3 linked regions of the Lepisosteus oculatus genome follow. The protein of the gene in region 3 purifies or fractionates together with the protein of the main gene of each other region. This does not show direct contact. Links are inferred from orthologs where the notes say so. Each region holds a gene or a part of one and is shown on either strand. Other genes may lie near its edges.

Region 1 (8,190 bases), on a different chromosome or scaffold from region 3:
TTGTTTCTAAAAAAACATTTTAAAATTAAAAGGAGACAAATTACATAAATCAAGTCAGCTTCAGCTGTGTTCACAAAAGTGCTGTCAAGCACCACCCCAGAGGTTGCTTTCCTGCAGAGTTGGATAACGCTCTTCCGGCAGGGCAGTACAAGAGCTCTGAGAAAAGTGCTTAATAAAGATATCAACCATGGAAATTATCTGGCACTGTACTGCAGTACAACTATGTTATTTAGAGAAGATGCAGTATACGGAAGTCATTCAATACCAGTAGTCTTAAAAAGCCTGACTACATTTAGTAGTCCATTAGAATGTGGTCAGAAAGAAATGAAGGATTTACCTTTTTTGGACTTAAATAAAAGGAAGGAAATTTGTGACTTTGAAATTGTGGTGAAAGCAATCAAAATCCTGAAATACTGAAATTCTGATTGCACATTCCCCTATTTGGCATGATCAGGACATGCATCACTTGCAAAATAAGTGATACTTAATAAATATTACTTGTAAGCCCTTCATATCTGAATCCTGGAGAGGAGGGATCACATCTTTTCTACCAAGGCAGTTTATAAGAACTTGAACAATTACAACTCAATCTATTACAGATATATTACACTATAACAATCTATTCTGATGGATGTGTTGGAGAAAATCGCAGGAAAGAGAAACATCACATATTCTATACATCAAGTACAAGTACTTGTTCAAAACATCAAGTGTCCTATAAGAAGTCTAGAATTAGAAGAGACAGGGGACCTCTTAGCTCGTTATGAAACAATGAAAGACACTTACATTACACAACCCTATAGGTCTGGGTCACATTTTAGCTCGTGCATGCTATATTTTAAATCCGATACATAAAATGAATAAAAGCGGGCCCTGGGTTTCAACACTGATGCATTTCAGTGTGCGCATTTAAAGGATATCCATGCGTCGACGATGTGCACGTGCCAGTCGAGCTCAACTTACCTGCTACGTTCCCGACTCCTGTGCCGAGGCGGCGTCCTGCCTCGCTCATGCTCGGACCTGTGGCGGCTCCCTTCCTGCCTCCGCCTGTCCGGGCTCCGCCCCCGGTCCCTACGGTCCCCGCCGTATTCCGGCCTGTACCTGTCGCCGTGGCCGCCGTAGCTGTAGCCCCTGTGCCGGCGCTCCTCGTGCCGCCTGCTCCTCTCCGGCGACCTCCGGTCGCTCTGGGGCTTCTCCGGCTTGTACTGGCCGCCGTGCCGGAACTGGTCGGCCTTGAACGAGCCGGAGCCCGGGCCGTAGCCCGCGCCGCCGCCGAAGCCGGGCGGCGGGAACGGGGGCTGGGGGTAGCTCATGGAGTAGGGAGGCTGGTAGCCCAGGGGCTGCGACATGGAGGGGGGCGCAGGGGGGTGTGGGGGCGGCAGGGGCGGGGGCGGCGGCAGCGGCGGCACCGAGGGCATCATGTAGTGGTAGGAGCCTTGAGCTGAGGCCGCCGGTCCGGGCAACAGGCTGGCGGACGAGTTCGGCAGGGGTGGAGGGGGGAAGTTCGGGGGTCCGGGAAACCCCTGCCGAATCGGGGGGTTGGGGAAGGGGGGGCGAACCGGGCACTGGTTCAGCGCACTCTGACCCTGGGAGGGCACCGGCGGGGGGTACGGCATGAAATCGGGACGCGGAGGTATGTAGCCAGGGCTGCCCTGACTGGGATATCCGGGGCACGAAGGCGGCGGCGGCGGCTCGTAATGGAAGGAAGGCATGGACTGCTGCGGAGGAATCTGGCGCAGGTTCTGCGGCCGGTAGCTCTGCGATCCCCCCCGCTGACCGGAGGAGACTCGTCCCCTGGGACAGCCGCGCCCAAGATGGAATGACATCTTGATTCTTAAAGAGAGGCAAAAACAACACAAAAACAACAAGCATTACATCTCACTAATGGTAGTAACAGCAGTCAAGAAAGTCAACAATAAAAGGTTTCAACAAACGCAATTCAACAAAAAGATTCTATGATGGACTGCACTGCACTAGTTATACATAAAAACTGCTAACTAGACCAAAATGTTGAGATCTTCATGTAGATATATAGAGAATATATAGAGGATAAGTCTATAAAGCAGTGTGAAATAAAAGATCATCTTTATTTTTAGACTGAACACTGTTAGAAATAAGAATGAAACTGGTGCCCAAATCTGTTTCGATTCCCCACACACTAATGTATTTTCAATTATTTGGTTAAACCTAATGAACAGACCTACGCAGCAATAGGAATGCCTCTTTTTTTTTTTTAATCAGAGTGCTTGACAGTATCATTCCCAATTCTGTCTGCGCATTGTTAACTGACAAACAATAAGAGCTGTTTAGAAAGCAACGGGAGAGCAACAGTTTTAAACCAAGTTAAAACGGAGTTTTGATCACTGTATTTCGTGGAAATGGCAGGCATAAAGCTGATCATATTTAAGTCTACATCCTGTATGGCATCAAAGATGTGATGGTATCACTGTAATTCATGGAAACGACACACAAAAGGCTGCCCGTATGTGAGTCTCTAGCCAAAATGCGAAAAAAAAGGTTAAACATCGAATCAATCAAATATTTCAATGAAGTGGTCTATAAGTTTAAATGGCTGAAGTGCATACTGTATGTTAAATACGACGCAAAAAAAGAATAAAAGTTGATGCTGGATTTCTATATTGACGTATTTCATCGTGCCCATTTAAAGTGTGGGACTGCTACCGATGTCCGGCATCGTTGTGTATCAGTATGATTTGCTGTTTAAAAGCGCCATAAATAATTATGAGCAAGATTTTTTTATATATAAAATAAAAATACCGTCAACAATGCTGTGTGTTTCGTGACTGCACCATCTGACTTGTATAGGTAAATAACATAAATTCGTTCAAATTGACAACATGGGGGGAAAAACATTATTGTAGCCTGAGATATTGTAGCCTGTTCAGTTCTTAATATAACCGAGACAAACTAGCCTATCGCTTGCACGTTTTTTACGTTTTTTTTTTACCAAAGCATACAACGGTATAAAGAAATTCAAAGCTGCATGTTACAGAAACTTACCTTTAACGATAAAATGTTTAGAACAAAAGACAACGATCGCCAGTCTCCAAGAAGAGTTAAAACGATTTACCTAAAAGAATTGTTGCTAGCAAGATAAAAAGTTTGGTCATTACCCTACATTTTACATGTGTATCGCCGCTTCAAGCTCAGCACCATAATCTCAACAGGAAATGATCCCTGTTGATATCGGCTCGCCTTCCTTTCCTCTGAGCGGATGCGACGACTGGCATATTCCGGTTTGTAACACGCAATCACTTTAAAACAACAGCTTTTCAGTTTTTTAGCTTCTCGACTCTGTACCATGTATTCCTAGCAACGCATAAATCTAGCCGCTGCCTTCATGAGACAAGGGAAACTGGAAAGATGTTTTAAGATTTAAACAACCGGGGAAGCATAAGTGAAGGCAACGTGTTTCATCGCGGCGCAAAAGACCGAGACGGACGACTTCGGCCCAATCGCTTGCAGAGACGGGACAGCTCCACCAATCGCGGCTAGGAAACGGCGTGTGTTACACTGAGACGGGTCCCCCGTCAACAAGGCTAAAATAAACTGCAGGCAGGCAGAGAGCAAGTGGTTTGTTTTTTCTTTTTTCTTTTTTTTGAGGAGGTGGTATGAATTCCACTCAAGCGCCAAGTAGAGTTTATAAAGATGTCCCCGTCTGGATAGTGGAAGATCATCATGATGTGAGTACCAGTTTCACTTTTTTTTAATCTAATTGTCTGCGTTTCCTTTCCCTGCTTACAGCCTTAATATATCCAGCTTTCAGAATACGAATTGCAAATTGAAAGCAATAGTTGATTGTAAAATACAGTCTTAACCCTGTAGTATAATGAATACCGAAGACTGTACAAAGAGGAATATTGTCATCAATATGTATTTATGCTATTTATAGCCTCATGTATATACACTGCGAACTGTGGTCAGTTTTGTTTAATCAATCCTGTAAGTGTTCCGGGTAAATTCATGTAATATATATATATAGTTATAGTTTAAGACCCTCACAAAAATAAAATGCGAATAAAAAAATACATTTTGGACATTACCAGCTATTTTCCCGAAGAATAAACAGTACTATTAATGCTACACTGTTGTAACAAAGTACAATTATGGGAAAGCCGACAGTTGACAGATCACGTTGCTCGTTTTACAAACCGCAATTGCAATCTCTGCACTTTATTCTAATACAGGTGCTACCTCACATCTATCGCGCCATTGGCTCCAGACATTTACCTATAAAGAACATCAAAATGATCCATTTAGATTCCCACCCCGACCTGCTTATTCCTGTCAACATGCCTGCTGACACCGTGTTCGACAAAGAAGAGCTGTTTAGGTAAGATGTGTTCATTGGTCACAGATATTCTGAAAGGATTGCAGGAACAAACATGATAATGAACATGATGGTTGTTTTTTCATGAACATCTTACCTGTGGTTTGATAGCTGTGCGAGGAAAAAAAAAAAGAACATATGTCTCTCGCTGTCTCTTCTCTCCTGATCCGAACACTGATTGTCTGTCCATGTGTCCCATTATCCAATTTCTAACAGCTTCTTCCAATTCAGGGTTTCCATAGAGCCAGAACCTATCCCAGCAAGCAGCAGGCTCAAAGGAGGGTACATCTTGGACTGGGTGCCAGTCCATCGCAGGACGCACACTCACATCTAGGGCCAATTTTCCTGGATGCCAATTAACCTACCAGTATGCCCTTGGAAGGAAACTGTCACACCCAGAGGGAACCCACGCAAACACGTGCAGAACATACAAACTCCATGCCGATAGCACCCCAGGTTCAAAATTGAACTCAGGACCCCAAGCACTACGAGGCAGTCATGCTTACCACTGCGCCACCCTGCCGCTCTGCTTTTAGCTTGCTGTGGGACCGAATCACCCATGCAATATTAAGTTAAATAGTGTGTTCCTTTTAAGAAGTGTCAATTGCTTGCACATATTAATATTAATTTTAAATGAAATTAGCCTTGTGTCTGTGTAGTTCATGAATTTGTATAAGTCTCTTTATAAAATCTTTCTGGATATCTAAATATTTTGTACTGTTTGCTACTAAATTAATCATTTAGGCTTTCCACACCTCTCATCCTGTTATCCTCTAGTTTCATTCTCACCTGCTTTATGCCCATTTCCCAACTGCTCCCCGTCCCTTTCACCTACTCTGTTGTTTTGTCCTGCTATGCCATATTGATCTGCTACTGTACTTTCTCTCCCTCCTTCACACCTGAAGAAGGCTCCACAGACCAAGTGTTGTTTTTCTTTCCCTACCTTTTAGCAGCGAATGAACCTCTACCTGACCCTTTTAAATCAAGGCTTCTCTACTATGTTCATCACCTGTTCGAAGAATTCTAGCAAGAAAGTAAAATAAGACATTCCTTTCTAATCTTTGCTGTTTTTTTTAAATGCCACTGCTTTCTTAGTACTCTCCCACTTTATTTCTATCGCTACCACAACTTGGCGACTGTAGCAGAAGACTAAGGGGTCTATATCGGATTTTTTTCAATGACTCATTTCAAATAACAATTTCATTTTTGTTTCACGGTATTGAATTAAGTGCATTCAAGTATTTTGTATTTCATGACTTTCTTTCCACAAAGCTTTTAACGTTTAAAGCTGAGTTATAATACCTGATATATTTTGTTTGCTGGAGTCTGTAGTTCAGTAATGTTTGCCACGACCCGAGGAGCTCTGTAATAAGTAGGCATAAATTCTTAGGGGAAAAAAGCCATTAATCTGTCCCCTTGAATTTTAGTCTTAAACATTATCTGATATTTTAATATCTTTCCAGTGAGCTAAGTATTGAGAATTGGATTATGCCCATGGTGTATGCAGGGCATTTATCTAATGTCCTATGGCTTCACCCTTCCTGGGCACAACAGATTACAGAGGGGGAGCACAATATGTCGGTTGGGAAGGATTCCTCTACAACAACAATCAGGTAAATTCATAGTACAACATGTTGATTTGGCATTGTTTTATATCGGCTATGTAGGCTATGTGATTGCTGGTTAAATGTACAATAACCATTGTGCTACTAATACATTAGAATATGGCTAGAATTCACTGTTTCAACCAGTTAGTTCATCAATAATACATCTCGAAATGTCACATGTTAATGGCTGGATGTGTAAGTGTTTATTTTCAATGGAAATGTGGAAAATGGACATATGGTATAAAAAGCGGTTTGGCAAATGACATGACATACATCACAAATTACTTTACTTTTTTTTATTTATTTGCCTTTTTATCTCTAACGCTCTTTGTTTTTCATAATGCCAGGTTTTTCTTTCTGCCTGACTTTTTACTTTTCGTCAGTCTGTTTTTTGTTGCTCTTTCATTTGGTATTTGAGCTTGTCCCATAATCTTCTGAGGAAACCCTTAAAACAATTTTAGATGATGGGCTCACAAGATTTTCTCGTTCAAATGCATATTCAGCTACACGGCCTCATGATTGTGCTCCATGGTTTCTCAGTACACTTACTGGTCCATAACATAATTTCTAAACAACTGTTAGCGCAACATTGAGCTTACTCTTCATCTTGACACAGGTTTTCTTAGCACTTTTTCCTGTTAATCACGATGATGCATGCACAATATAGTGAGAGATAAGTTCATTCTTCATGTTGCAGTGGCTCATACCTCGTCCTCTGCTGAACAATATAACAAGAAACCTTCACATTTTTTTTCTGTGTGTCTCAGGGTGACGAGTAAAGATGATTATTTTTTAAGCGATGGGCTCTATGTCCCTGAAGATCAGCTAGAAAATAAGAAGCCTTTACAGCTGCATGTTGTCAGAGTTATCCCAGTGGAAAATGCTTGGAAGCAAGAGGAGGAAACCGTGGAGTGCGCTGCTAAAAGACCTAAATTACAGCCTTCGGGTGGGCTGGATGAAGTTGAGTCCTTGGCAAAGAAGACACCTGCAGACATGAGTGTGGAACCAGCAGGGGGCAGCAAGTCCACCACAAGTAGCAGTGGCCATGGAGAAATAGCACAGCCCAGCAGAGGATCTTCTACCAGCTGCCTTTCAAAAATCAAACTGGACTCGGAAACAGACCCCGTGAAACGAATCCTCCCAGTTATCCAGCAAACAGATGCTTACATTCTGGATATTGACCTGGATTTCTTTTCATGCAAGAACCCCTTCAAGGAAATGTATACCCAGGTAATGGCAAAGATATGTACCTTGGGTTTCTTCGGTCTCTTCCACAGCCAAAAATGTTTTGAATGCGGTGAAGTGCAATATAATCACAAAGATTGGGTTAGGTATCCACTCATTTTCTAACCACTTCATCCAGTTCAGGGTTGAGGGGGAGCCAGAGCCTGCCCCGGCAAGCAACAGGTGCAAGGCAGAATACAGTCTGGACCGGATACCAGATCATCACAGCGCACACTCACACCAGAAGCCAAGTTACCTGCTAGTATGTCTTTGGTCTGCGGGAGGAAACCATGCAGACAGCACCCTAGATCTGGAATTGAAATTAGGGCCCCAGCACTGTAAGGCAGTAATGCTTACCACTTTGTCACTGTGTAGGATATTGTTATTCTAATTAAGTTATTGCTATATTAGGGGGATAAATATAGTTATGAAAAGTTAGAGGGTATTTATATTAAGCCAAATATCTAGCAAAAAACGTAAATTATTAGTCTGTTAAATCGCATTTAGTTCCAAGTCCACCTTCCGTTTCTTAGCTAAATTGTCCATATATCTGATGATATTTATGACCATGCTTTTGAAAACTTCAAGGACAACAACATACAGATGCTTTAGTGTTTTCCTTTATACCATGACAAATGTACATCTCTGGCTGAGTCAAATATGGGCCTTTCTGAAAGAACGCCACGGGCCTCCAAATGAAGAGAACGTGTCTTTCATATCCATGGTGATTTGTGCCATTGTCGGGCCCTCCTCCATTGACTGTAGGCTTTTTATTTTGGAATACAGCATAACATTTCGTATTCTCTAGTCAGCTTTAGATTTTTTGTAGGACTTGCATTTCTCTTTTTTTATGTATTCTGCCAGAAATATGTGGATTTTTGTTCTGTCACTGATATTTACTAGTACATAAGTCTCCATTCTATTGTAACTGTTATAACCTAATGCCGCCTACAGTTTTACTGAAGCATAAAAACTAATTTCATAATGAGAGTTGTCACTTCAGTGGCA
Region 2 (8,181 bases), on a different chromosome or scaffold from region 3:
AAAAAAAGGAATTTCTGGTTTTAAGTCACCATCTGGGTAACAACTCTAGATAATCAGACAAGTCCTTTGCCAAGCAACATGAATGGTACTGCACACTGTTTCTGTTATCATTGTCCTCAACAGCTTCACTGCAGTTCTGGTTGTTGTTATGAATATTAATGGCAGTAGCAGTAGGCTTAAACAATAGCTGCAGTGTTGTTTTCGGTAATATTAGGGAGCTCTGGAGGAGTTACTGCTGGAGGAACCTAATGGAAGAAAAATAAACTGCTCAGTGACACTCATGTTTGCATGTGCTATTTGCTCTGCTGAGGTGACAGTGTGTTTTGTTATCCCTCTGATGTGCAATTTACAATCAAACTCCTTTCCTGTTGCTCCCTTTCACCATTCCTCTGCAAGGAGACCACAGTGGAGGTTGGACACTCCTTTGGTGTTAAACCAGATAAAATTCACAAATGCAGGGGTAAAGGAGTCTTGATTAATTATTTTATAATTCATTAATTTGTTTATTGCTAGAAGGCATCATTTTGCTGATACTCAAGGTATGTGTTTGTTACAATATGTATTATGAGCAGGTCACAAATCTTTTGCTTGAATGTATTGTGCCCACATAACTGAAGTTCTCCATCTTGTTTTAGAATCCCAAGGCATTTGTGCGTGTTAATTTGTACTTTTGCATGTTACACTAAATAAATAACAACATTATGAAAAATACTGACGTTGACAGCTGTGAGGAGCCTTTCTAAAGCAGTGACAAACTTGTGTGCCATATTCCACACTCACTGGCCAAAATATTAGCAACCCCCACCCCCAGTCAAAGATGCAGGCCATGAAGAGCCTGAGACAGACTTCGATCCCCAGACTTTCTGAACACACAGTATCACAACCTCGACTGAAGGTGACCCAGCTAGAGGAGCTGGGGGATGGCTCAGTGGCTCAAATGGTAATATGCTTGCCTGAGCATTAGGTAGAGTTCTGTGACCTCAGGTTCGAGCCCGGGTCAGGTCACTAACTGGGATGCTGGGATGTCTGGGAATCCCAGAATGGTGGTGAACAGTTGGCCGAGAGCTGCAGAGGGTGGGGAAGGGGGATTAGTCAGCTAGAGAGGTCTTGGATGTTAGCGACAGTGACCCCCTGTGGCCTCCCAGGGACTTGCAGGCTCACGGGGCTGTTGGTAAACAGCCTCTCCTGCAGGGGGCAGTGTGGCACCTTGGATGCCTTTAAGACAAGCGGCTCAGAGGTGGGTGGATCGGAGGGCGTTGCCCCACCTTTCTCGTTCTCTCCTCCCTGTGTGCGGTTGTGGGGTTCGTGAGCTGGGCATCAAAATGTGAAAAACACATGATTAGCTCTTCCAGGCTGGGTGGATATAAGGAGAACAATTGGAGACGCATACATTAAGAAGAAGAAGAATGGGGGCTGCAAACAGATCAGAATTTTGCAGAATACAAGCTACGTCCTCTGCTGTGTTTGCAGCAGGGGGGGGGGTCCTAATATTTTGTCCAACAAGTGTAGCACTCCTGGCGAAGAGTGAAAGAGCCCCAGAATGAGCGGAAAAAGCAGACCGCGGTAAAATAGGGGTTCAGAAATTAACGAAGCGGTATGCTATTGAAACTGAAGGGTTAACACCTTCACTGCAAAACACAGCTAATATTTTATTAATAGTAAGTGCAGCAATCATCAAGATCCTGACGGTTTGCTAACCTGAATATCCGCTGGCGGCACGCTGCATAATGACATCCAAACAGCTAATGAATACATTAGAGATGCAGAGAGAAAGATTTCAGCGCAACATCAAGGATGAATAACATAATTGCCTGAAGGAGCAATTGCAGGGAAAACAATTTCAGCTTTGCTGCTTGCATGTCACCACAGGACATGCTTTTGGTTTTCCTGCTTGTTTTTTTTGGGGGGGGGGGTTCTAGACAAATTTAAAGTTGTCGCCTTCAACTATTTTAGGATATCCCACGCCCAAACCCAGTCCAGAACCTTAAGGCTAAACATAACTTTAAATCTAACTCTAAGTTTGTGCCATTATTGAGCGTAATCCAGCTTTTCTCCCTAAACCTTATTGTGACTCTAAATATAACTCTACTCTGTTGTTCACTCCAATGCTAACCCCACCCCAGCTCTGACAGCTGGGAATAATGGATACCATTGTCAGGCCAAACAATGGATTCCAGTCTAGTGCAGAGTGCCGGATCGTCATGGCACAGGGCCACAGCCGTCAAGTGGCTGGACTCTGTTATTGATGCAGTCTGTGCCTTCCTTGCTCAGTCTTGCACTCTCGGGCTGAGCTCTGCTCTGCTGCCTGACCAAGGGAGGGAGGACTTTGATAGCAGTCCGCCCGGCCTCTTCCCCGTCCATTTTCATCGCTCCTGTGGTGCTTTCCCAGGGTCTACTCTTCGCTGTGTTACAGCCCACAGTCAGGAGTGGATCAATGCTGAATCCGAGACTGCCCCGGCCATCTCTCCCGCACTGGTCGGCACTGACCTCCTTTCCGACCAGTGCCGGGCATTTCCGGCACCTCCTTGGACTTACTGAGGCTGAATTTTACAGTGCCCGGTGCAAGCAAAGGCACTGTGCGCTTCCGCTGGAGATTAAAAATAGTTAAAGGCGTCTTACAATCACAATTACAATCAGTAGGCTTTTTATTGAAGTTAAAATCGGAGGAAAGCAGTTTTGAAAATTCATGGACGTGTGCCCTCTAGCTGTGCTGTAAAGGAGGGATGGTAGGTGAGATGGACACTTGGGAACCTCCAATAAAAGTGAACGCAACTGCTTGACAGCACCTGAGACACTGATCCCTCCAGCAGGGGGCACTGTGACATCAAACGTATTCTAATGCTTCTTTCTCCTGCACTTCTGGCATTTTAAATCATGAAATCATGAAGCACACTTTCAAAACAATAAACACCCATCTAAAATGGCCACATCTATGATGTGTTCTGTTCAGGATTTGAAATGGCTTATATTTCAAAAGGAAATGTCAATGACTTCTGCGTTCTGAGATGCTGTTTTTGACATTTTGGAATCACTTGCAAGGAGAAACTGGTATGCAATGGTTTTTTTTTTCCTAACCGCAAACCATCTATCTAAATGTCATTTTGCTGCAATAAAGGTCTCCCACGAAACAAAGATCCTTAGGCATGTACTGTAAGATAGGATCTCAGAATAACCCTGTCTTTCAATACCTTCACCAAGTCACAAGGGCTGAGGGCCAGACAGAACTAATGACATCAAGCAATAAAGTGTGTCCCAGGAAGATCTGCTTTTGCTGTGTTGAGTGGCCATCTTGCAGCACTGCAGTCTGGCCTCGCTGATCAGCATCAACGCATTGGGATGGGCTTCTATCAGCAACCTTGCCTGGGCTAAATTTAGCCTGACCTTGAGGATCAGCAGGGCCCCCCTTGGGATCCACAGCACAGCCCCTCCGCTGTTTGGAGCCTGCTCACTCCGGCATCAGCACGGGGCCCACAGCTGTCACTCAGTATTAACAGAGCACGCGGGCTGACAGAAAACATCCCCTGCCCGAGCCAGGGCTCTCAGGCCAGCGATCGGACGGCCGCCCAAGTGCAGTGGACGAGCAGGCCCGATGCAGGCGTAGATATGTGTGTAGCATACTCCAACGGCAGCGTTAATAAGCCCAGGCCCTGACCTGCTCCCACATCCGGCTGAAACTGGTATGTGAAGGTGCTGGGCAAGCACACTGTGAACTGGAGAAAGTGGCTATCAAACAGATAGATGAACAGTACCTCTGACAAGCCTGGAATCTCCAGGCGCCTCTCAGCCACTTTGTCAAATAGCTCACTTGTAAAACACAAGTACTGAAGGAAGAAGGGTTCAGAGAACAGGGAGAGGACAGTGCAGACAGTGGGCTCAGCGTGGAGACAGTGTGCACATGGTTACAGGCCAGACTGAGGTTACAGTGAGTCCCATGTCATAATAATAATAATATATAATAATAAACTTTATTTTATATAGCGCCTTTAAAGGTGGCTTCTCAAAGTGCTTTGCAGGATGACAACAACAATAAGAAGAATACACAAGATAAAACACAATTATAATATATAGAGGAGACCACGGACACGTTTAGTCATGAGCTAAATATATATTATATTAAACAAAACAAAAAACAACAGTCACAAAGGCTGAGGAGGATGGTAACAACAACAACAATAATAAAATAATAATAATAATAATAAAATAATAATAATAATAATAATAATAATAATAATAATAATAATAATAATAATAATAATATGCTCACACCGGAAGAAGGCTCCATGGCCGAAACGTTGTTTTCTTTCTTCTTTTCAGAATGGAATAAACCTATTACTTGTTCCTAATAATAATAATAATGTTGCAAATGGGGGGTGACCAGACTGGTGAAAATTACTTTCCACAGATAAACACAAACGGGGTGGGGTGAGAGCGTACAGTGACGGGGGGTTACAGCGAGAAATAGCTTTTTTTGCTGGTCTTCACGTGTTAACTTTTGCTTGGAACACGATGCCATCTATCGGATATCCTTATCGGTACACATAGTCGACATTTCTTCCTGATTATGCTAGCGAGCTGGTCCTGCCGCGGCAAATAACGTGTTCTCAAGCTCCAGAGAGGTTTCCACATGGAGTCATAATATAGAGTCCTGTATTCGGGGGAAGTCTTTTTACATACAGCGTTACTGCATACAGTTTAAAGTACGGATACATAACTGCACAAACAAAATAAAAATCTTATAACAACAACGTTTAAAGTCCAGCTTTGCACAATCGTAGTGCATTTTGGATCAAAGCTATTAAAAAAAACCCTACAGCTGCTTAAAGATTATTAAACCTACGATTCAGCGCGAAACCAATGCTGGTTACTCTCCTCTCTTGATGTGATTGGCTATTTCAACTTGCGACGCACCGCCCCGTCCTGTCCACGATAACCAATGTGAGACGAAGAACATGTTGCTGTGTCCTGTGATTGGTCAATGACAGCACTTGAGCGGAAACAGCCACGAAAAAAAAACAATTTCAAACGGAAGTCAGTAGGCTTCGCGGGATCTGATTGGTCAATCTTTGAAGCGCAATGTAAACGTATTTTTAAATTTGAAAATGCAGTTCGGTGAAGGGTTGGCTCTTTGTCGGTTGTGGTAGTCAGTGTTATTCTGTAGAGGTTTAAAGTGTAGTGCTAGGTTCGGTTGAGAGGGTTTTGTTAGCGTTGATATTTTTAGCTTTATTCATCTGTTTTAGTAAAACAGCCATTCTCTGTTTTATATAGGTTGTAATACCGCTCGAATAGTTAAGAAATGGCCTCTGAAGGAACGCTGAAGGTAAGGTTAATGTCGACGAGCATGCTGGTGGTATCTGTGGAGGGAAAACCGAAATCTGGAGCCGAATGCTTACTTGAAAATATTATATACCTGTTTCTTTCCTCGTCTGTGCACGATTAAACAATTCTATTTCATTTGGGCTAATAAACACGGTTTTACATTCATGTTCAAAACCGTTATGTAAGGCAAAAAGACTTGCGGGGTGGAGGGAGTTTTTAATCTGGGATTATGAAAACAATCAGAACAGTAAAAAACTGGATTTATGACCGCATTCCAATCCTCCAATGCTAAAATATTATTTTAATGTAAAGTTTTCCAGATAAGTGCTTTCGATTTCGTCTTGGGACATATTTTCTTTTTTCTTTTCTGGCGAGGGTAAATTGTCCTGTTTGCGTGCAGCCTGCGATCGCAGCCGGTGATGGGTATGAAAATCAGATTTCAGATCGTGAATGTCCCCAGGTCGTTGAAGTGCTTACAAAATGGCGAGAACTGGACTCAGTTTGTCATGCCCCCTGACGGTCATCCTACCTCGATTTCCCTAAAACTACGATTCCGTGATTTCTGCTTTACTTATTCGGCTGCAAGAACTGAATTATTGACCAGTTCTCATCTTACTGTCCCAGCGGAACCAAGGAAAGTAGAGTTCGGCGTTTTGATAACCTTTCTTAATTACCACAGTGACAGGCATTGTATCTGGGACGAAGAATTTTCCGAGATATTTCAATTATAAATTTTGGGGGTAAATATTGTGGGGTTTGACTAAATAGAACGCAGCTGCTACATGGGATGTCTAGTCTTTCTTGTGTACAGAAACGAAAGACTATTTACACTTGCAAATGTTAAGTGCTTCGGTCTGGGACGAGCGGGGCGGAAGAGCGTTGTCCGTTAACTTTTTTTTTTGGTCAAGTTTACAATCTGGTGGCAGCGAGCCGAACTTCAGTCCGTCCCGTCCCCCTAAATCTTTTTAAATCCCTACCGCCTGTGGCATTGACACGCATCGCTTTCTTCTCTTACGACACCAGAGTAAGGCACAATCATTTCATGCAGCACTTTTCCTGTGGGAAGTTAAAAACCGTTTCAGACTCCTTGATGGCATGAGCTAAACGGTAAACCGAACTTCACCTCTGCAGGGCTGGTTTTCATTCCAGCGCACCTATTAATAATACAATTGAACTGGTAATTGGCTTCATTTAAGCTCTTTTGCCAGAACTTTTCCCTGCTGTGGATCTTTAAAACCCGCTGGACAGTGGCTCTCCCAGACGGGGATTCTAAATACCAGTCCACAGGGCGCGTTTGTAAAGCCAAATTGCTGTCGCCCACCTCTTGCCCTTTTGTGTCCCCTGCAGACGATGTTTGAGAACAAGCCTGTGAGCAAGGCGAAGGATGATAAGCGTCTGTCTGTGGAGAGGATCTACCAGAAGAAGACGCAGTTGGAGCACATTCTGCTCCGTCCCGACACCTACATCGGGTCTGTGGAGCCCGTGACACAGGTGAGCACTTGTGACACAGGCGGGCAGGCACCTGGCCATGCAGTTTGCAGTGTGGCAGCTCTTTATATATCCGGGAAAGTGTAGGCAGAGGCTGGATTCATGCTGTTTATTACCCCGTTTTAGTGGATGGATGTTATTTTTGTCAACTCAAAGCTAGTGCATTAATACTTTCGTGATCATTTAAGGGAGGGTGTCTCATATCTTTTCGCCATGTGTACTCTAAACTGTAGTACATTATGCAATGGTACAAGGTTATATGTCAGTTTGGTTGTTTGTGATGGTTCTCTGCACTGAACCCTTGTGGATGTTGAGAACCTGCTGTAGTTGGACAGTCCAGTAAGAAATGCAGCCTATGGTGGATTCCCTAGTTTCTAGTATGTTTCCTAATGCAGAGTTCCGGCATGCTTTGCAATGTTACTGCATTGAATGAAGGCTGTGGCACCAGTCAACTAACAATCAGCTCACACTGAAATCTTGTTGAAGAGCCCCAGTTTGATGTTCCACAATAGATAACTAAGTTTTGATGGCCTTCTTTTCTAGCAAATGTGGGTGATGGATGAAGAAATCGGAATGAACTGCAGAGATGTGACTTTTGTTCCTGGCTTGTACAAGATCTTTGATGAAATCCTTGGTAGGTACTAATCAATAATGTGAGGTGGTGTCAGAGTAGCCTTCTGCTGTAATAATTTGTGCTTAATTGACAAAGATGTGTCTCTCTTCCGGACATTGTTATACCATACAGCATTGAGCCATTGATCTTTTTCATAGCGCCACAGGATAATGGACGGTGTGTATTTGTTTTCTAACATTGCCGTAAGAGGATATTTCCATGGATCCTTTTGACTCTGTGCATATTAATGATCAACAGTATTAAACACAGCTTTTCAAGATTATTGAAAATTGAGCTAGAAAATCTGTTCTTCTGTTTGAAAAATAAGTAAAAGCCTAAATCTAAGATCTTGTTTTTCTCCAGTGAATGCTGCAGATAACAAACAGCGGGATAAGAAGATGTCCTGCATCAAGATCAACATTGACCCGTGAGTGATGTTCTAGAATATAGTCAAGGGTGCAATCGAGTCGACAGTTTAGCGTTAACATTTTAACATTTCAGTACCTAGAGTGTTTTTTTCAAATGTAGATACTTTATTTTATTGTGGTTTCGGAACTGAAAACCATGAAAAAGCTCAAGTTAAATAAATCCCTGGATCATTTAACAGTAAATGACTTAATTGGAGGAAAAATCAAAAGCCACTGGGCTTCGCAAACCCTGCCTTAGTCACATACTTGCCCTGTAATCCACCGCTACACTTATTCCTACACTAGTACACTATTATGGAAACAATTATCAATGACACACCTCTAAAAAATCACTTG
Region 3 (7,632 bases):
ATAATGAAAATAATCTTTGCCATACTCATCAGAACTTTGGAAAATGGCAGATGTAAAGATCTTGTGGGCTTCAGAGATTTAGAGCCCCAAGTGTGAATGTCTTCTGCAGACCACTTCTAGAGCAGAAGAAAACTAACTGTATTCTCCCAAAACTGACCAAGAAGCATACAGCCACCCAGGAAAGTACTGGACGAATTTTTAACTTATCAGTTTAATTTTTACTGGAGAATTTAAAAAACAATACTCTTGGGCCTCCATTATTTTAACAATATTCCATCAGTCTTCAACATTAGCTCATTAATAATGAAACTGCTGTAAAGTCTTTTTTACCCAGAATCAACAGTCACAGTTAAATTCTGAAGGCTGGAAAACTAGGTGCCCTTACAAGATTAACTGTTTAACTGGATGTTTTTTTTTTCACCTAGACCAAATTGAACAAGGATACAGACTCTAAACAGAGCATGTTCTGTAAGGAGAAAATGAAACAATTCTAGTTAAAACTCAGAGCCAAAGGGCACATGGCTCTTTGCATGACTCCCAGACGGAACGCTGTACCTGCTGTCGCGCATGAGGTTAGTACTTAGCATCACACCTGCGCCCAATGCTGGGATACAGCTGTCTTCTCGTTATGGCTAATTATTTCAATGACTTTTTTTAATTTAACCAACGGGCTGAATGCAGCACTAAGACACCCATCGCAAGAGGGTCTGACAGTCATTCCCTCCTGTGTCTGCACATGATTAATGTGTAGACAATAAGAGCTGTATCGAAAGTGACATGAGAGAGAATTTTAAACCAAATGAAATCAACTGGCCTAACTATATTTCTTGAAAATGGCACACAAAGCAGAGTCGCAAGGGTGCGAAAAAATGACGGCCAAGTAAAACTACAGCAATGCATCAGTCTACCAATACATAGGATTGTCTGAACATAATCCCTGCATTAGGACACTGCATCCGAGCCAGAGATCCCCAATCCTGGCCCTGGGAACCCACACATCTGAGACTTTTCATTCAAGCTGAGCCTTTAATTTAACAGAAACCTTAACTGAATCAACAAACTGCTTGGGTTAGAAACTTTGTAAGTTTTTCTACTAAAGGATTGGAGTTTTTAAGATGTTTAATGCAATCGTTAAAGGGCAACATGTTACATGTATAGGATCTGGAAACAATTTAAGAATTCAAATGAAACCTATAAAGGTTCAATTATTTCAACCGAGTGCAGGCGGAACAGAAACCCACAGGTCTCCAGGACCAGGATGGGGTGATCAGAACACAGAGCTTGCATGCTCTCTGACTCAATGACTCTGTGTGCAACCATGAGCATTTTCACTGTTTTAGCTGGTGTCATATAGCATACAAATCAGCCGGCAGAATTTAATCTACTTCATTACTTAAGGTGTGTGCCAGTTGCTCAGCACCGTGATAACTGGCTCCACAAGCGCTGTGATTTTTGTTACACTTCTATAACATTAATTAAATCAATGCAATTACTTCTTTGGAACTCCATCGTCCTGGCTTTGCTTCAACCTTAAAAAAAAAAAAACAGGAAGCCAATCGTGTATACAATACAAGCTGGTTGTCCTGAGCTGTGTTGGCAACAAATGACATCAACACGGTAGTAGATTCACGGTACACTTCATTTTGTGCTGCACAATGAATCTTGCACACTGTCGTGTATCAGCCATCAAAGGTGAATCCATCTCTCTCAGGTCACCGGCGCAAGACGCTTAGTTTCTGAGGAACTGAGCAGTGCTGCACAAGAATGGCTGTGTACAAAGTCACTGACTGATGTCATGCCTCCGGATAGCAGCGTTTGTTTAGGAGTGTGAAAAGCACAGCAGAGGCTCGGTCTCAGCCAGAGAAGCCCAGGGGGCGATGGTCAGATGCAGAGAGACGCGGCTGTGCTGACGCCAATCACCCACACTCACCCCCCCTGCACCCCCAGGCGATAAGGAGCTCACGCTGGGAGCGCACCTCAGCCGCGCTCTGGGGGAGCAGGCTCAAGTACAGCAGCACACAGCACGCAAACCAAAAAGGGAGAGCTGGAGGGTCACTGCACAGGCCTTAAAAAGCACAACCGCAGAATGGGCCCCTCTTGACAACTCCTGCTGTGCTTTACAATCTTCCAGCACCGCAGCAGGACTGCTTCCGCAAGAGGCTTGTCACGCAAAGGGTGCAGGGGCTGAGCAAGCCATTTCAGGAGGGAAAGGCAAGAACAACCCTTCGCCATGACACCAGTAACTGTTAAAACCATCCCACTGCACCAGGCATCAGCACAGCTGTCTCACACTAGGAACCCCCTGGACACTACAGCTACAGAAAACACGAGCGATGCTCACAATACACTTCTTCTATTCGGCTTTGGTATGCATGCAGACAGCTGCAGCCCAGCACCATGGCTGTCCGGACAAGAAGTGCTTTCGGTCTATCTGGTTAATTTAGAGCAAAACTGGAACCTATTAAATAAGAGACTGTCTGCATTTAAACAACACCGCAGCTGTGAAGAGACACGTCTCCGGCATAACAACCAAGAACTCGCTTTTCAGATGAAAGAAGCCCAGTACTGGACCAAGTCAAATGCACAATCAAAGCAAGGAGAGGACAGAAGATTCAATTACACTGTCTGAAAGTCAAAATGCAGGCTTGGTTAATCAGGCATTAATCAAGGCACAGCGAGTAGGAGGAAGAGGGAGGAAGACTGCTCCCCGTTAACTGCCATCTCTAGGGGAAAATAACACTGAAGGGCTGCTCCACTTCAGGACAACATGCGCAGCAACACTGCTAGCAGAGGGAACAAAAATTAAATAAACCTGCTTATTAAAAAAAGAAAAATTCACATATCAGTAAATAAGCAGTGTCCTTTGGCAACAAAAAAAAAAACACAGCAGAGGGTGCTATACATACATTTAAAACTACAAACACTGCATGACTATAGCTGTAAATGCCAACTGCAGCTCTGCTCAGAAACCAGTGCCATTCTCGCCGAACCCCGCTCCCAGGCTGAACCCACTCTGTCGCTCGCTTGCCTTATTGAAAATGAATCAATCCAGCACTACACCTCCTGCCCACCGCCTGGCCCTCACTCACTTGCACCTCAAACCGCTGGCGAGCTTCACCACCGCCGAGTTCAGCGAGACGATCCAGTCTAGCAACCACATGCCAGCTCCGCACAGCACAGCCCCAGCGCTGGAGCGTGCACTCTCTCCTCCGAGCGCTGCTGTGCTGTGCCTTAAAAACTACAGAGGGAGGAGGGGAGAGAGAGGAAGGGAGGGGGGGGGGGTTATTAGATGAATAGTCCACGGGCTGGATCACTGGCAGGCAGTGGTGTCGTGGGACAGCAAGAAAGGTACGCAGGTGCAGGGTTAGAGCAGGGAAGCCAGCAAACACTTTCAAAAACAACATCTATATATATATCTATGCTCTCCTAATTTATGCGCACATCTCAGCAGGAACGCTTCTGTTTGTGTAGAGAGAGAGAGATCTGCAGATACAGCACACAGGTTCTGCTTACTCAATATCCCCAAAAGGCAAAACAATACTTTACAACCTCACCAGCGCTTCAGCAACAGCCTGAGCAAAGACGCTCTGGGGTACTGTGCCCAGCAATACATTTCAGGGGTGAGACGAAGGGAGGACTGGAGACAGGAGAGATCAAGCGGCATCAAATGCCATCTTCTATTAGGCCCCTTGGCCTGTGGGCAGGCTTATGTAACTCCCACAGGAGCAGTGCTCAGCCAAGCAGACAAAACGGAGAGCAAAAGAAATACACATTTCAGCTGGAATGAGGTCTATTTGGCTTGGGCTGAAGGGACGGCACTTATTATCAGTGCCCAGTGCAGAGACCCCGCAGCCTGCCCATAGCCCTACCCCCCTTATTCCCCACACGCAGAGAGCACGCTTTCGACCTCATCAGAACAGACACTCAAAGACTGCTAGCAATGCTCACTGGACCTGGAACACCGCGAGCCCTCTTGAACCTCGGAAAGCAGGGACGAGCTTGAGCCCCTGGGAATGATTCCTGCAGAGCAAAAACATTCCAGATTCCCTGCCACAAAAATAAATTTGGAGCATGACCTCCAAATGCAATGGGATTTAGCATTCTCTTCAAGCTACAAGCCTTTTATACTGCACCACACGCATGCATGAGGGATATTTTAAAATTTACAGAAGGTAAAGAGCAAGAACTAAGAAAAGGGTACCATTTTTTTTTTTACTGCTCCCACTTTATCCTCCTGTGACATTTACTTATGACCTCACGTGTTCCCAGGACGGACGTGTTTCTCAGCCCTGTCCAGGTAGAAGGGTTGCGATTGCCACACCTGCCGGAGCTCATGAGCACTGGCAAACCTGCAGCCAGAGAACGCCCACCTGCGCCCAGAGAGTGAAAAACAGGACGGGCGAGGACTTGCTGCAGCACGACCATACAAGACGCACAACGCTTGCGTAGCCGCGGCCACCGCGGACAGACCGCACCTCGGGCCTCGACCACCACCCTCCCGCCAGGGCCAGGTCTCGTGCCTTTCAAGCCCGCGATGCTGGAAAAACCCTGAAAAAGGGTCCCTGAGGTCAAAGGTTCGTCAACGAAATTTCAACAGCTTTGGGATTCATAATTCAACGGTGAAATTTGTCTTCCCATTTGTACAACAGCCAGCTGGCCATTATGTCCGTAGTTGTAGCTAGTGAGGGAACACACGCCCCTGATATTTGGGAGGTGCGCCATGCTTGTACACAGCAGGTTTCTAGGAAAAATCCTTCTTTGCCTCCAACAGAGATGGGAGGTTGGAAACTAGTTTAGATGCATTGTTGCTTCAGTTCTTGAGCTCCGCAGTCCAACATCAGCAGTGCTCTTCTTGACCTCTTTATATGCAAACTGGCCCAGTTAATTCAATAATGAAGTACAAATGGTAGCTCAGGTATAATGAAAGTGTGCAGGTACAGTGGCCCTCCAGGCCACGCGATGTGGACCCCTGATGTACAGTAACATTGGCATACATCAGACTTCCAAGGCTGTAAATAACCGGGCCCTGTCATGCTTCTCCGTACTCCCCCAGTAGGCTGCTTTCCATTCAGGCTGCTCCTTTGCTCACTGTGCCCTCCACTATACCACAGACTTTTCTCTCCCTGTCCTATTCTTATGAAATGCCCTATTCTTTGAGAGACAAATTCTTTGACTCTCTTTAAACCTTAACTTAAAACTCACCTTCTAGGAGCCTATATCTGATTACTTACAGTTTATCCTGCATGTTTTTGTTTCATTTTACTTACTTTCTGTTCTTTTTTTTCTCTTTATCACCATGTATAGCACCTTTGGGTTAGGAAAGGCACTTTACAAATAAAAGGTATTACATAAAGCACATACACAGGAATAATGTTACACAGGGACAGGCAAATAAATAAAAATATACTCTATGATCAAATGTGCTAAGCGCGTCTTTAGATCAAATCTTCCCCCCCAAAAAAAACAACCTAGAATACATGGTCTCAGCTCACTGAGTCCTTTACCAAGTTGTAGCACTAATGTAAAGCCCATGTGCAAAGTGTTCTCTGACAATCCAGTCTGTTCTGAACTTCATCTGGGCATGTATTTATCCCTCACAGCCAGTGAAACGGATGCTGTGTTTATAAGTCATGCAAGCGATTTGCTGTCCAGCTAGACAATAATGTAGCACAATACATTTGATTGGTGGTGATCTTGATCTCCCGGACAGTTAGAAAACAAATACCAGGACATAAAGCACGAGATGGACAGGTGGGATCAAAGATAACAGCGAGGAAGTGTTCTAAAATGTTCATAACATGATTTCAGCTTGAAATGGGTTTTCACATTTTGTATGGGAGCTTTACAGCTGAAAAGGGGCATTGAGTTTTCTGAAGAGCTGTATAGACCGACAGTCACTGAGGTGATTAGCACTAATGAATACGGAACAGCTGCAGCTGCAAGAACTGATATTGACTAGGGAGTCCCCAGGAGTAATAAACAAAAGACTGTCTCAACACTTGGTCACATATACCTGTGCCTTAAAGCTTTATTTTGCTTGTTGACCTCAGTCAATCAAAACAGCTTTGAATTATTTAGCATGGTATTTTCCAGTGGATTTTAAAATATAACTTATATATACTTTATAATTATAAAGTAATCCAAACAGCAGCAGTGTGGGACAGAGGAGAGGACTCTAGGCCAGGAGGGTTGAGACTTTATGCAGTAGACATATTTTAAGAAAAAGAAAATGAATAAATTGTAAGAGGGCAAACTCTTAATAGCCTATTTTTAACTCTTCTTTGCAAACTAAATCAGAACAGACTAATCGATTTCAGCTGCTCTAATAAACAGAACCCCAGAACGAGGCAAAACAGCTCAGCACCTATGGGAGCAACAATGTTTACCAAGGATTTGCAACTTTTTTTTTTCTTACAGGGCTAGTCCCGCCTTGGAGACAAACCTGAACATCGATTCAAATTTTTTAACCAATAAAAACAAGCCAGTTCACAGGACAGGAATGTCGGACAGCACCCCAGTTAATACATGAGCTAACATATTTCCACAATGTTACTTTATACGACCATCATCAATAATTAAGACTGTTTCTGCTGCCAGGCGGCCTGTCCCTATGTGTTCAGCCTCGATGCCACAGGCCTGAGCAAGCTCTCAGCAGCATGGGCTCAACTTACAGTGGCAAACGTACTATTCCAACTCATAGATGAAAAGGAGGGACAATTTGTGCCATAAGGAAAAAATGCTACATACAGCGAGGCTGGGTCTCGTCATAACCTGGTTATGAGCACCCAGCACTACACCAACACACGAGTCAAGCCTTTGCTAGCAAGGAGATAACTTTTTTTCCCTCCAACCCCTTCACAGACATAACTTTTTTTTTCACTTCCGTGCGCAACAAAAGTCGCTGGGGATGGTAGGCGTTAAAAGAGAGCGAGCAGGCACAGCTCAGCCACAATCTGAAACGCCTCTACTATTGTCTCTTGCAAAGCCACAGTGCTGAGCTGTGTGGAATCAGACGGCAGCCTTGCGCAGACTGAAAACATCTAAAAAGCTCACTGCAGTTACAACCCTCGTCATCCCAGAACCTCAGATATGGCACTGACAATGGTTCCCACAGTCCCTCGAGACCATGTCTAAGGCCACCCCAACAAGCACATTTATGGGACCTGAGAGACGTGTTTCTGGACTCAACACTTAGTGGCACGTCTCTACAACATGCTGCAAAAGCATGGATTTCAATTTCATCCCAATTGTCCTGGAATTTATGTTTAATACATTTTATCAAAGAATTAGAAACTGATTTGTAAGATCAAAGCTTTTGGTCAGAGAAATACCTAAAGCTCAAGCAAGGCAATTGTAGCTGCACATAAGAGTATATAATCCTAAATCTAAATTTGCACAGATCTACTAAGGCACTAAAACCAAGGCAATTCTCTGCAAAATCCCACATTATTCTGTACTGACTAGTCTAAAATGGGACTCACATATTCAGTTAAAACTGAATAAAGAGTAATCCAGAAAGGCTAAAAGAATAAGTTTTTCTTTCACAGATCTTTGTTTTCTAAATTGTAAATAGCTCCCATGTCAGTCTCAAGCAGGGAAAGTACATTTCATTTGTTGTTTTTTTAGCTTACA

What was found.
Region 1: the proteins of SRSF protein kinase 1 (region 3) and drosha purify together in Homo sapiens (affinity purification with mass spectrometry; 3 studies listed by BioGRID and IntAct, counting the BioPlex papers as one, with this or other methods). This does not show direct contact. The link is inferred for Lepisosteus oculatus from reciprocal best matches to the Homo sapiens genes SRPK1 and DROSHA.
Region 2: the proteins of SRSF protein kinase 1 (region 3) and top2a fractionate together in Homo sapiens (co-fractionation; 3 studies listed by BioGRID and IntAct, with this or other methods). This does not show direct contact. The link is inferred for Lepisosteus oculatus from reciprocal best matches to the Homo sapiens genes SRPK1 and TOP2A.

What each region holds. Positions count from the first base shown.
Region 1 is NC_090701.1:6,467,696-6,475,885, reverse strand, and holds the start of drosha (ribonuclease 3), read right to left. Parts: upstream 3,188-8,190; 5' UTR 3,022-3,187; intron 1,834-3,021; 5' UTR 1,827-1,833; coding exon 964-1,826; intron 1-963. Other genes in the region: c6h5orf22 (UPF0489 protein C5orf22 homolog), read left to right, coding at 3,633-3,704, 4,209-4,354, 5,815-5,964, 6,726-7,188. UniProt on the Homo sapiens protein: Ribonuclease III double-stranded (ds) RNA-specific endoribonuclease that is involved in the initial step of microRNA (miRNA) biogenesis.
Region 2 is NC_090723.1:6,354,034-6,362,214, forward strand, and holds the start of top2a (DNA topoisomerase 2-alpha), read left to right. Parts: upstream 1-5,079; 5' UTR 5,080-5,293; coding exon 5,294-5,317; intron 5,318-6,663; coding exon 6,664-6,807; intron 6,808-7,347; coding exon 7,348-7,438; intron 7,439-7,780; coding exon 7,781-7,844; intron 7,845-8,181. UniProt on the Homo sapiens protein: Key decatenating enzyme that alters DNA topology by binding to two double-stranded DNA molecules, generating a double-stranded break in one of the strands, passing the intact strand through the broken strand, and religating the broken strand.
Region 3 is NC_090700.1:36,074,459-36,082,090, forward strand, and holds the start of SRSF protein kinase 1, read right to left. Parts: upstream 3,209-7,632; 5' UTR 3,161-3,208; coding exon 3,090-3,160; intron 1-3,089. UniProt on the Homo sapiens protein: Serine/arginine-rich protein-specific kinase which specifically phosphorylates its substrates at serine residues located in regions rich in arginine/serine dipeptides, known as RS domains and is involved in the phosphorylation of SR splicing factors and the regulation of splicing.